Linked DNA regions of Arabidopsis thaliana. The protein of the gene in region 1 interacts with the protein of each later gene in a biochemical or structural test. Each region holds a gene or a part of one and is shown on either strand. Other genes may lie near its edges.

The links.
Region 2: the proteins of AT1G32530 (region 1) and ATMND1 form a complex in vitro, tested with the Arabidopsis thaliana proteins (one study listed by BioGRID).

Annotation. Positions count from the first base shown.
Region 1 is NC_003070.9:11,758,920-11,764,436, reverse strand, and holds AT1G32530 (RING/U-box superfamily protein), read left to right. Parts: upstream 1-1,801; 5' UTR 1,802-1,896; intron 1,897-2,036; 5' UTR 2,037-2,050; coding exon 2,051-3,670; intron 3,671-4,255; coding exon 4,256-4,771; 3' UTR 4,772-5,010; downstream 5,011-5,517. Other genes in the region: AT1G32520 (TLDc domain protein), read left to right, coding at 5,165-5,363, 5,495-5,517.
Region 2 is NC_003075.7:14,380,942-14,386,002, forward strand, and holds ATMND1 (Mnd1 family protein), read left to right. Parts: upstream 1-1,894; 5' UTR 1,895-2,043; coding exon 2,044-2,046; intron 2,047-2,515; exon of another isoform or gene 2,516-2,610; coding exon 2,611-2,691; intron 2,692-2,875; coding exon 2,876-2,992; intron 2,993-3,101; coding exon 3,102-3,140; intron 3,141-3,239; coding exon 3,240-3,347; intron 3,348-3,428; coding exon 3,429-3,491; intron 3,492-3,572; coding exon 3,573-3,624; coding exon of another isoform or gene 3,625-3,629; exon of another isoform or gene 3,630-3,765; coding exon 3,766-3,810; intron 3,811-3,906; coding exon 3,907-3,986; intron 3,987-4,082; coding exon 4,083-4,187; 3' UTR 4,188-4,524; downstream 4,525-5,061. Other genes in the region: SNF7.1 (SNF7 family protein), read left to right, coding at 78-149, 400-499, 578-663, 751-842, 1,013-1,127, 1,207-1,401; RHS16 (root hair specific 16), read left to right, coding at 4,690-4,768, 5,049-5,061. UniProt on the Arabidopsis thaliana protein: Required for proper homologous chromosome pairing and efficient cross-over and intragenic recombination during meiosis.

The sequences.
Region 1 (5,517 bases):
ATAACTTGGTAATGCCTTAATATCCCTATACAAAAAGGCAATGTATATTGGGAAATAAAACATTAATTGTCATAGTAAAAATAATACATATTACAAAAAGTGATTCGATATGAATAGTTATAAAGTGATGAAACATCAAAAACGTTTGAAATGAATATAATTTATTCAGAATATATATTTTTTATTTATTTATTCAGAATATTCAATATGATACGTTAAAAACTTGATTTTAATAGATTACTAAAATGTAAAAAAAAAACTGATTTGAATAGAGGCTACTAACATTTAAATTTTACTACCCATGTTATTTGAATAGAGGCTAGCATGTAATGGATTTAGCGGAATAAAAATGTGAAAGTTTGACGAATGCTATGAATACAAAAAGAAACACTATGCCATTCATACCATCATGAACAAATGCTCTGATTCAAAAGGAGGCAATATGGGTATGTCGATTTGACAAAATGGTCGAAGTTCTTAGGGAACAAAGAGATTTGAGGTCACAATGCAAAATCCAAATATCTTTATTTTTATTTATTTATTTTTTTGTTAAAAGGGTTTTAAAATCCAAACATCTTGTCTAAAGAAATTGTAAAAGACACTTCAACAGAAGATGCCTTCCAGAAGCAAGCAAACAGAGTTGAGTTTCTCAATCTCGTTCCATCATGACCACTAAGCCAATACATGTATGTATGCATCTACGTAACGTATGCGTGTATATGTATGTGCATGTATGTGTGTGGGATTTGGAGGAATGGGAGAGAAAGAATAAAAGGACAAAGGAAAGAGTCATGTAAGAACATTTTGGACATTGACGTCTCTAGAGACGCTTGGATAGCCATTAAAGTGCGGCTATGGAGTTGTCCACGTCTTACTTCAAACTATGATGGCTCAGCTTAAGAAGATGCATACAAAAACCTCTTTTGTTTCCATTCGTTTTTTCTTATATGAGAATGTGGTAAATTCTATAGACGATGTAACACAAGCTATAGAGAATGTATATAATTACAACTGGAATTAGCACACTATTTGTTTATTAATGCCAATGGTATCCCAACTCTACATAAAAAAAGCTTTATAGCAAAAAAAAAACTCTACATCCAAAACGCAGATGCATGGACTGATGGACATTGGTTAATTACCCAAAGGAACAACATTTACGTACCACTGGGCATCCAAACATATAAGCGAATATCACCAAAATCCAAAATCTAAGAAATTTCAAAAAGCAAGAAGTTATATATATGTGTCCATTGCTTTGCCAAAATCTAAGAAGTTATAGATTAGGGTTTCTAGAATAGATAAGCATCGAAGGGATCACAAAACTGTAAACCAAACTGAAATAAATGTTTATACCAAAAACAAAATTTGCTTCTTAACCAATTGGTTTTATAAAAAGAATAAGAATTTGAAACCGAGTTTAATGTAACCAGTCGATCGGACTAAACTAATTGAGATAAATATAATCATAATGTACATTTTAATTTATTAATACAATAGATGTTAGTATAACTATATTAAAATATTATTAGTTCAAACATTATATTTATATAATATAAAGTTAATTTCCTAACTAAAACCAAACCGAATCAAAACCATAATCAAACTGAACCAAACTAATCTGTTTTCACATTCTATATAACCGAAACCAAACAAACAGATCGGATTTTAACCCATACCTATAATAAAACGCTGTCGGTTTGAATTCGGATATATGGGCCCAAATAAGTTCAGTCAAGTAATGGGCTCAAAGCCCATAAATATATTCTCTGGCGCCGCCAGAAATGGAAGAAACCGAAACAAAGTTTCTCTCTCTCTCTCTCTCTCTCGCATAACCTTTTCGCCGAAACTCTCATCTTCTCTTAGCCGAGAAAATTCAGCCACCACCACCGATCAGTAAGTTCTTCGTATTCCTCCGTCTCTATCATCGAATCATTATTTATTCAATAAATTAATTCCATTTCTTCAAACCCATGTTTTTTGGTTGGTAAAGTTTTCATTTTTATCGTCTCTCTGTTTTTCAATCTCTCTTTCAGTTTCAGATTTTGGCATGGGTTGTACTGTGAGGGAGAAGCACGTGAAACCGACCCGTAGGATCAAAGCCGCTGCATTTAGATCCGACCCACCGTTATGTTGGGTCGAGAAGATTGCTATGTCACAATCAATTGTTGAGAACCTTGTTTATCATCCTGGTCTTACTGATTCCGGTTCTGTCAATTTGAATTCCGTTACTGAGAATCCTGAGGAGAATTTTTGGGCATATTGTACAGAGGAGCATTTGGAAGAGATTTTGCTGAAACATTTGGAGTTTTTGTATAATCAAGCTGTTTCTAAGCTTCTTGAATTGGGCTATGAGGAACGTGTTGCGTTGAAAGCGGTTTTGAGTAATGGACACTGTTATGGTGAATTGGATGTGTTGACTAATATAGTGAATAATTCATTATCTTATTTGAATAGTGGTGGAGGTGGAGGTGGGAGTAATGGGAACGGTGAGGATCGAACGGAGACTGGTTTTACGGATTTGAGAGATTTGGAGGAGTATTCGCTTGCGGGTATGATTTACTTGTTGCAACAAGTTAAGCCTAATTTGAGTAAAGGTGATGCAATGTGGTGTTTGTTAATGAGTGAGCTCCATGTTGGTAGGGCAAGTACTCTGGATGTCCCAACGAATAGGTCTAGTTGTTGTACTAAGGAAGATAGCAATGTAGAAGATGTTGGTACGGGTGGTACTCTAGATATTGCTGGTTTTATGGCACCAGCGTTGTGTCGATTCCATGGAGGTTGGGGTTTTGGGAATGGGGGAGGACCTGAGTTTTCTGGTAATGGGTTTTCTATGAAAGGTGCTGAGTTGAAGTTGCAGAGAGAGATTGATTGTCCTAAAAGGTTTAATCTTTCGCCATCCATGAAGTCCTTGTTGAAGCGGAATGTTGCAGCGTTTGCTGCTGGGTATCGTGCTAGTATGAAGCAGAAGCAAATACAGTCGTCTGATACTATTGGTGATAGCAAAGCTTGTAATGATCCTGCAATTGTGAAGAGTTGTGGGCAGCAACCACGTAAGTCAGGGAGTGAAGAAAGTGTTAGTACGGTGTTGGAGAAATTTCGTGATCTGAACCTTGATGATAATCTGGAATCGGTGGGTGTGGATGATAAGGATTGTGTGATAGTCGATCTGCTTCATCAGGTTAAGGATTTCGAGAAGAAAGTAAAGGAAAGGAAAGAGTGGGCTCAGAAGAACGCAATGCAAGCCGCACAAAAGGTCAGCGAGGAATTAGCTGAGCTTAAAACATTGAGTAGTGAAAGAGAAGGAATCCAACTGCTGAAAAAGGGGAAACAGGCTGTTGAAGAATCAACTGCGAAAAGATTTACTGACAAGGAAATTGAACTCAGAAAAGCTTGCAGTCAAAATGACAGGGCCAATGTAATTGTAAGAAAGCTTGAGAATCAAAATGCAGAGATTCGAGCAGAGCGGGAGGGATCCAAATTAAGTGCATCAGAATCGCTTAAAGCGTGCATGGAAGCATCAAAGAAGGAGAAAAAATGCTTGAAGAAGCTTGTGGCATGGGAGAAACAGATATTGAAGTTGCAGGATGAGATTACAGCTGAAAAAGAAAAGATTAAGGCCCTATATAAGACTTTAGCTCAAATCACAGAGTATGAAAAGGAGATTGAGGTACGTTGGTTCATATTATATTCATTTATACTGTGAAAGTTCTCTAGATCCTCTATACTTTTAACTCTAGAATTGTGGGAAGTACATTTACTTAGGATTCAAAATATTTACGTACGTTATCATTTGAGGCACACATCTAGTTGCGAAGTTGGTTCTGTCTTAGATGGTAGTATGCCATAAGACTTCAAAGATCATTCAAGAGGTATAGTCTGTGTCTGCCACATATTTTGCTAGGGTAGATGGAACCTGGATTTGATATGAATATAATCTTGGAGAATCCGTCTCGAGTTGTAGAAGCCAAATGATTTGCTATACCTATTGATATGTTCCACTGGATAGCTTTTCTCTCTACATGGTGGTCTATATTTTCTTTTCGTTCCTGACGTTTTACCTGTTTGCGCCTTGCGGGTACGTTATCTATGTTGCTGCACATTGTGTTCAAAACCTTGCTCTAGATTTGCTTACTTGGACTGTGGTTGATGACTGATAATTGAAATATCAATTTACTTTACCTCAATTAAACATGGAATGATGGTTAGTCTATCAACTTCTTTTTATATTTACCTGTTCATATGTTATTTGCAGGCGAAATGGAGGCAAGAGCAGAAGGCAAAAGAGGAGGCTCTGGCTCAAATGGAGGAAGAACAACGCTCAAAAGAAGCAGCTGAGGGTCACAACAAGAGAAAGCTTGAGACTTTACGACTCAAAATTGAACTAGACTTCCAAAGACACAAAGACGATCACCAAAGACTGGAGCAAGAACTCGGTCGACTCAAAGCCTCTTCAGATAGTGACTCAAGCCACATATCCAACAACGCTTGGAAACCCAAAAAATCTCAAGGAGAAAACATTGCTAAGCTGCTTGAAGAAATTGATAAGCTTGAAGGGTCTTATGACAATGAAGCAAACTATGATCGAGAATGCATAATCTGTATGAAAGATGAAGTCTCTGTGGTGTTTCTTCCTTGTGCGCATCAAGTTGTGTGTGGTAGTTGCAGTGATAGCTTCTTCGCGAGCAACAACGGCGGAAGCAAAGTCACTTGTCCTTGTTGCCGAGGTTTGGTTCAGCAGCGAATCCGTATCTTTGGAGCAACCTCATAAAAGCAGAAATAAGCTTCTCTTTGGGTTTCAGAGAGATCACCACAACTTCAGGTTTTACTTTGTAAGTACAAATAATATGTTTAGCTTCTTCCTCAGAGCTTTTTACACTCAGGAAATTTGATTTTTTTCGATGAAAGATCTTTGCACGATGTAAAATAACTTATTATCGTGATTATCTTGATGAATTCGATTTGGAGGAAACATGCCTCTCTAGTTTTTACCAAATAAAAATCAACTATCGTTTGGTTTGTTTTTGGTTTTGTTTGGTTAAACCGGATTGGACACTTGTTAGCAAAACAATGACAACCACAAGTTCTTGAAAACCACAATTATTGATGCTTTGTCTACTTTTCTTCTTGTGGGTTTTGTTGTGTGGCCGTTACTTGCAAGAAAATGGCTTCGTGTGCCATCTCAAACTCATTTCATACTGTAACCTTCAAGACCTTGAAGAGAATAAGTCCTTACAACAGTCTATTCGGTTGGAACTCCGGTAAGAAAATAGACAATATCCGGCCGCCGCAACAACCGGCTTACCACGACGATGTCGAAATTCCTTTCTCTCTTTCAATGGTAAACAAAACCTTCCTAAAAGGTAAATAAATTTATTCCCTTCTTCTCAATCTAAGTCCTTGTAGCAACATGTGGACTTATATATTCTACCACTAGGAATAAGTATATTTCTTATCTAAAGTTCTTCAACTATATAACAATCTTTTTTATTAGGAAGAGAGTTAAAATGTTGCTAC
Region 2 (5,061 bases), on another chromosome or scaffold:
TTAATTCGCGGAAAATTGTTTCAGTAACCTGTGATCGTGTCGGTTGGGGTAGAAGAGATCGAAGTGGGAGCAAAATCATGATGAATCGGCTATTCGGGAAACCCAAGCAGGAGGCTAATGCTCTCCAAACTTTAGACAAGCTTAACGAGGTATCATCTACTTATCTACTTCTCTCTCTCAATTTACGTTCGATCTGAAAGAAATATCGATCTCTCTGTGTACTGATCTCTGTACTGTTTGTTTAATCTTAAACTTAAATCACCATAAGACATCACTTCAAATCCGATTCTCGTTTATATTTAATACTCAAAAACGATTGAATTGGGGATTTCTGAGTACAATTTATATGATCGTTTGCTTTTAAACCATATTCAAATTTTGTTGATTTGTTCATTGCAGACGCTTGAGATGCTAGAGAAAAAGGAGAAAGTACTCTTGAAGAAAGCTGGTGCAGAGGTTGAGAAGGCAAAAGAATACTCCCGGGCTAAGAACAAACGAGGTATGACCTCTTATTTATTATGACTCATGTGTGTTGCTAATCACTGGAGTACTTAAAAGCTGTATTGGGTTTTTGCAGCGGCTATACAGTGTTTGAAAAGGAAGAGGTTATATGAGGGACAAGTCGAACAGCTTGGGAATTTCCAGCTCCGTATTCATGATCAAGTGAGTTTGTTTTAAGATTGTTAACTATAAACTATATAGCAGTAATTAGATGAATTTATTGGGATCTTATATCTTTTTGTCATACAGATGATTATGTTAGAAGGTGCAAAAGCAACAACCGAAACTGTTGATGCATTGAGGAGTGGAGCTTCTGCAATGAAGGCAATGCAGAAAGCAACGTAAGTGTTCATCACATTTTCACCATATTACTCTTTACTACCATTTTAACCGTCATCAGTTCTGGGAATCGTTAATACGAGCTTGGTATTCAAAATACTTATGCTTTTCTTGTGCTTGAATGCTTTAACATTTCTAGTGCCTGACTAACTCAAAACACAATATTTTGCAGAAATATTGATGATGTGGATAAGACCATGGACGAGATCAATGAGCAAACCGAGAACATGAAACAGATCCAAGAAGCATTGGCGACTCCAATGGGGGCAGCGGCTGACTTCGACGAGGTAACTTTCTTGTACCCAAATGATCATATATTTTTCAACTAATAATGACTTTTGTCTAAGAAAAACTTCTCTTTGATAGGATGAGCTTGCAGCAGAGCTTGATGAACTAGAAAGTGAAGAGCTTGAATCGCAACTTCTACAGCCGGCAACAACAGCTCCTCCATTGCCTTCAGTTCCAGTGCCTGCAGGGCGTCAACCGGCTCGTCCTGTTCCCCAGAAGCGGACTGCTGAGGAAGAAGAACTCGCTGCATTACAGGCTGAGATGGCCCTCTAAGGTCTCTTCTATCTATAATCAAAGCAAAATCAATCAATTTGCTTACAGACTATGGATTTGTAATTTAACTAGTTTTGCAATTGGCTTGGTTTAACTGCAGGTTATTCACCTCTCCGAGCAGAGACATGTATGCATTGATAGACACGAACAGACGATGTATATAAGGATCTGAATCAGATTAATTCGGAGCGAAAAACTTTTATAATCCCCGTCGTTAATGTTATCTGCAATTTGAGTGTTCTTCACATAATTTATCTTTTGTAATTTTTGTATCTTTTTATGACACTTTTTCCTTTGGTTAATAATCACTTTACTCCTATGTTCATCACTTTCGCCTGATAAGACTACTCATGAATAGTCAACCATATACGTTGACTTCGCTGCTTTAACAAACATCATGCCGTTTTGGTACCATAAAATTGGACTCCGTGTCGTTTTAAGGTTAAATTCAAATTAATTGGAATAAAAAATGAAACAGAAAGCGAGGGATAATAACCCGCTTAAGTTTTCAAGGCTTCTTCTACAATTCTCTCATTTCGAATTTGATAAAGAGAGGAGACGATAGTGAGGGAAGAGAGTGAGAGAGAGCTGTAGCAGTGTTTGAAATCCTTTGGATTGCATCACCAGGAGCAAGAGATCACGATGGTAATATACTCTGGACGAATGTTCTCTACTTGTGATTTTGTTTCGCTAATGAACCTCTGTGATTTGTGCATTTTCCTGGGAAGATCGAGTGATTATTCTCTATGATTCTATGAATCGTGATTATCTTACACTGATGATCTTAGCTTGTGATTCTTCGACTTACAAGAGAATTTTGGATGTATTGATTCGACCTATTTGTTTGAATGTTTAGTAGTCATCGTTATGTGTTTCTCTTACTCTTCGAAGAAATTTGTTTAAACTTATCGTTCATCGGTAGTAATGTTTCTATCTTCCGTAGTTCATTACAAATTTGTGTGAGGAATTTCCGCAAACACTTGGACTGCATGACGCGAATCGATAGGTTCTCGAATTAGCATTTATCTAGCAGCCAATTCTCGCAATCAGTGTAGTCGCTGAGTTGACTGTATATATTTTTGACATTTTCGATCTGGAAACTATTTGTTGACAGATCATTTGTTGGATTTCGTCATTGAAGCTCTGAAGTTTTTTTTCGTCATTCTCGTATCAACTGAATCGCTGCTTTCTATTGTTGATGATATTCAGTCTAAGAAACGGGGACTTTCGCTGGAGGAGAAACGAGAGAAGATGCTTCAGATATTCTATGAGTCTCAAGACTTCTTCCTAGTGAGCACTTTCTTTAGTTTTTACAACTTGCTAATTTTTGGACGCCTTTGAACTAGCTTTATCTACCAAGTGATCTGATATCTAGAGTCGTGAAGTGCATATACTGCCTAAATTTGTTGCTATTGAACTTTTGGGTTTGTGATACAAGCACTTATGGGTCTCTACTTTTGTAAAAAAATTTCAGCTAAAGGAACTTGAGAAGATGGGGCCGAAGAAGGGTGTAATTAGTCAGTCTGTGAAAGATGTTATCCAGAGTTTAGTCGATGATGATCTTGTTGCGAAAGACAAGATTGGAATTTCTGTGAGTAGCTTAGTGTTCCTATGTTGGATCTTTTTATTTCATTTGTTGCCATATAGTCCTTGTCTCTGTTATATGTTGTTTGACGGTGTTCATTATTTTGCAAATGAAGATCTACTTTTGGAGCCTTCCCAGCTGTGCTGGCAATCAAGTGAGTCACCGTTCTGTATCCTGAGATGACATCAAAAAGATTCATATTAATTTGAGCATAGCGAAATTCATTGTTTCTGATCTCATTTTGAATGAACAGCTTAGGAGTGTTCGCCAGAAACTTGAATCTGATCTTCAGGGTAGTAACAAAAGGTTAGCAGAACTTGTTGATCAGTGTGAGGCCCTAAAGAAGGGAAGGGAAGAATCGGTAAGTATTTTCAGTATTGTAGAATTAATGCTCGAATAAGCTTACGTGTGCTTTTCACCAGAATTGCTGTTCTTGCTGCAGGAGGAACGAACAGAGGCCTTGACGCAACTCAAAGATATTGAAAAGAAACACAAAGATCTGAAGGTCAGATTATACAGACTATCTGTTTGCATAGAGCTATTCACATGCTTAACAAGTTGCTAACAGTTTCTTCTTCTTAAACAGAACGAGATGGTACAATTTGCTGACAACGATCCAGCTACTTTGGAGGCAAAGAGTTAAGTTCTGCATAATACGTTACTTTTGTTTTGTGTTAGATCTCCTATATGGTTTTCCCGGTCTTCGTGGAGCAGAAATAAGAATCAATCTTGTGCTTTACTAGCTGTATCAATGTGTATATTCCTTCTAATTTTGACAGGGAATGCAATTGAAGTTGCTCACCAGTCGGCTAACAGATGGACAGGTATTTCATTTCTAAAACTTGGGAATGTGTTTTCAGTTTTAATACTTACGTAATTTTCACTGCAGCCTAGATTATAATTCTTTCAAACTTACTCAGATAACATCTTCACACTGCGACAATGGTGTTCAAACAACTTCCCCCAGGCCAAGGAACAGCTAGAACATCTATACACGGAGGTATCTTCCAGATCTTTTCACTTCAAAAGGCTATAAATTCCACATTTCACATTCTCATACATGAAGGAGAGACTAAATCAGCTGGGTAACTTTCAGGCGGGAATCACTGAGGACTTTGATTACATAGAGTTATCATCATTCCCTTTGAGCTCATCCCATGAAGCTGATACCGCAAAGCAGCTAGTACAAGATGAAGCTTAGTTCTAATACTCTCCAGCATAACAGTTAAAGAAACAATAGCTTAAGTAAAAAATCTTTTCACTATCCTTTTAAGTTTTCTGGTTTTAAAGGTTGCAACAGTCTGTAATTCTCTATGTGACCCAATCATCTAATGTCAAAACTCGGTTACAAATTCTGTGGTCAGAAAAGATTTTTATTTTCTTTGTATCTGTCGGCTATGTCCAAGCTTGGCTATGTTTTGTTATAATATTTTATTGGAGTTATATATATATCATGCGTTAGTTGTTGACCCACTGGTTACTTCTTGATAGCTGTATTACCATTTTATATTCTTTCTTGGCCGCTTTTTTCAGTCGTGAGCAGCACTTATGTTATACACCTCCAGGTCAATTTTGTTGCTACCAGAAGAGGAAATGGGCATAGACTTTGTACTTTCTAGTCTTTTGTGTTTTTGTGTTATCTTAAACGCAGGTTGTCTGTTTTTCTGACGATGATGAGCTGAGCTTTACAAAATAAGAAGAACATGGGAGCTCACTCTGTTTTTCTCATCCTTTTTTCCGTCATTGCCATTGCCATTGTAGTACATGGCCAAGGCCAAGCAGGTTCGTGAGTCTCATTCTCGCTTATTTTCCTCTGTTAGAGTCTGTTTTGATTTGAAAATGAGCAATCTTCAGACCAAAGATTTTTGAAGTTTTGATATATGTGGTTGCATTTTGGCCAAAACCGTGTTCTGATTATTGGTTTGACATGATAAGTGAGGTCCAAGTCTGTTTCTATGATTGAATGCTTTAGGTTCTAAAATTTAAACCTGCATTGGAATTTTGATGAAAATTTTCTCAACGTTGTAGAATTAATCAAAACCCTTACCTTCTTCTGGTCCAGGTTTCATCAGCAT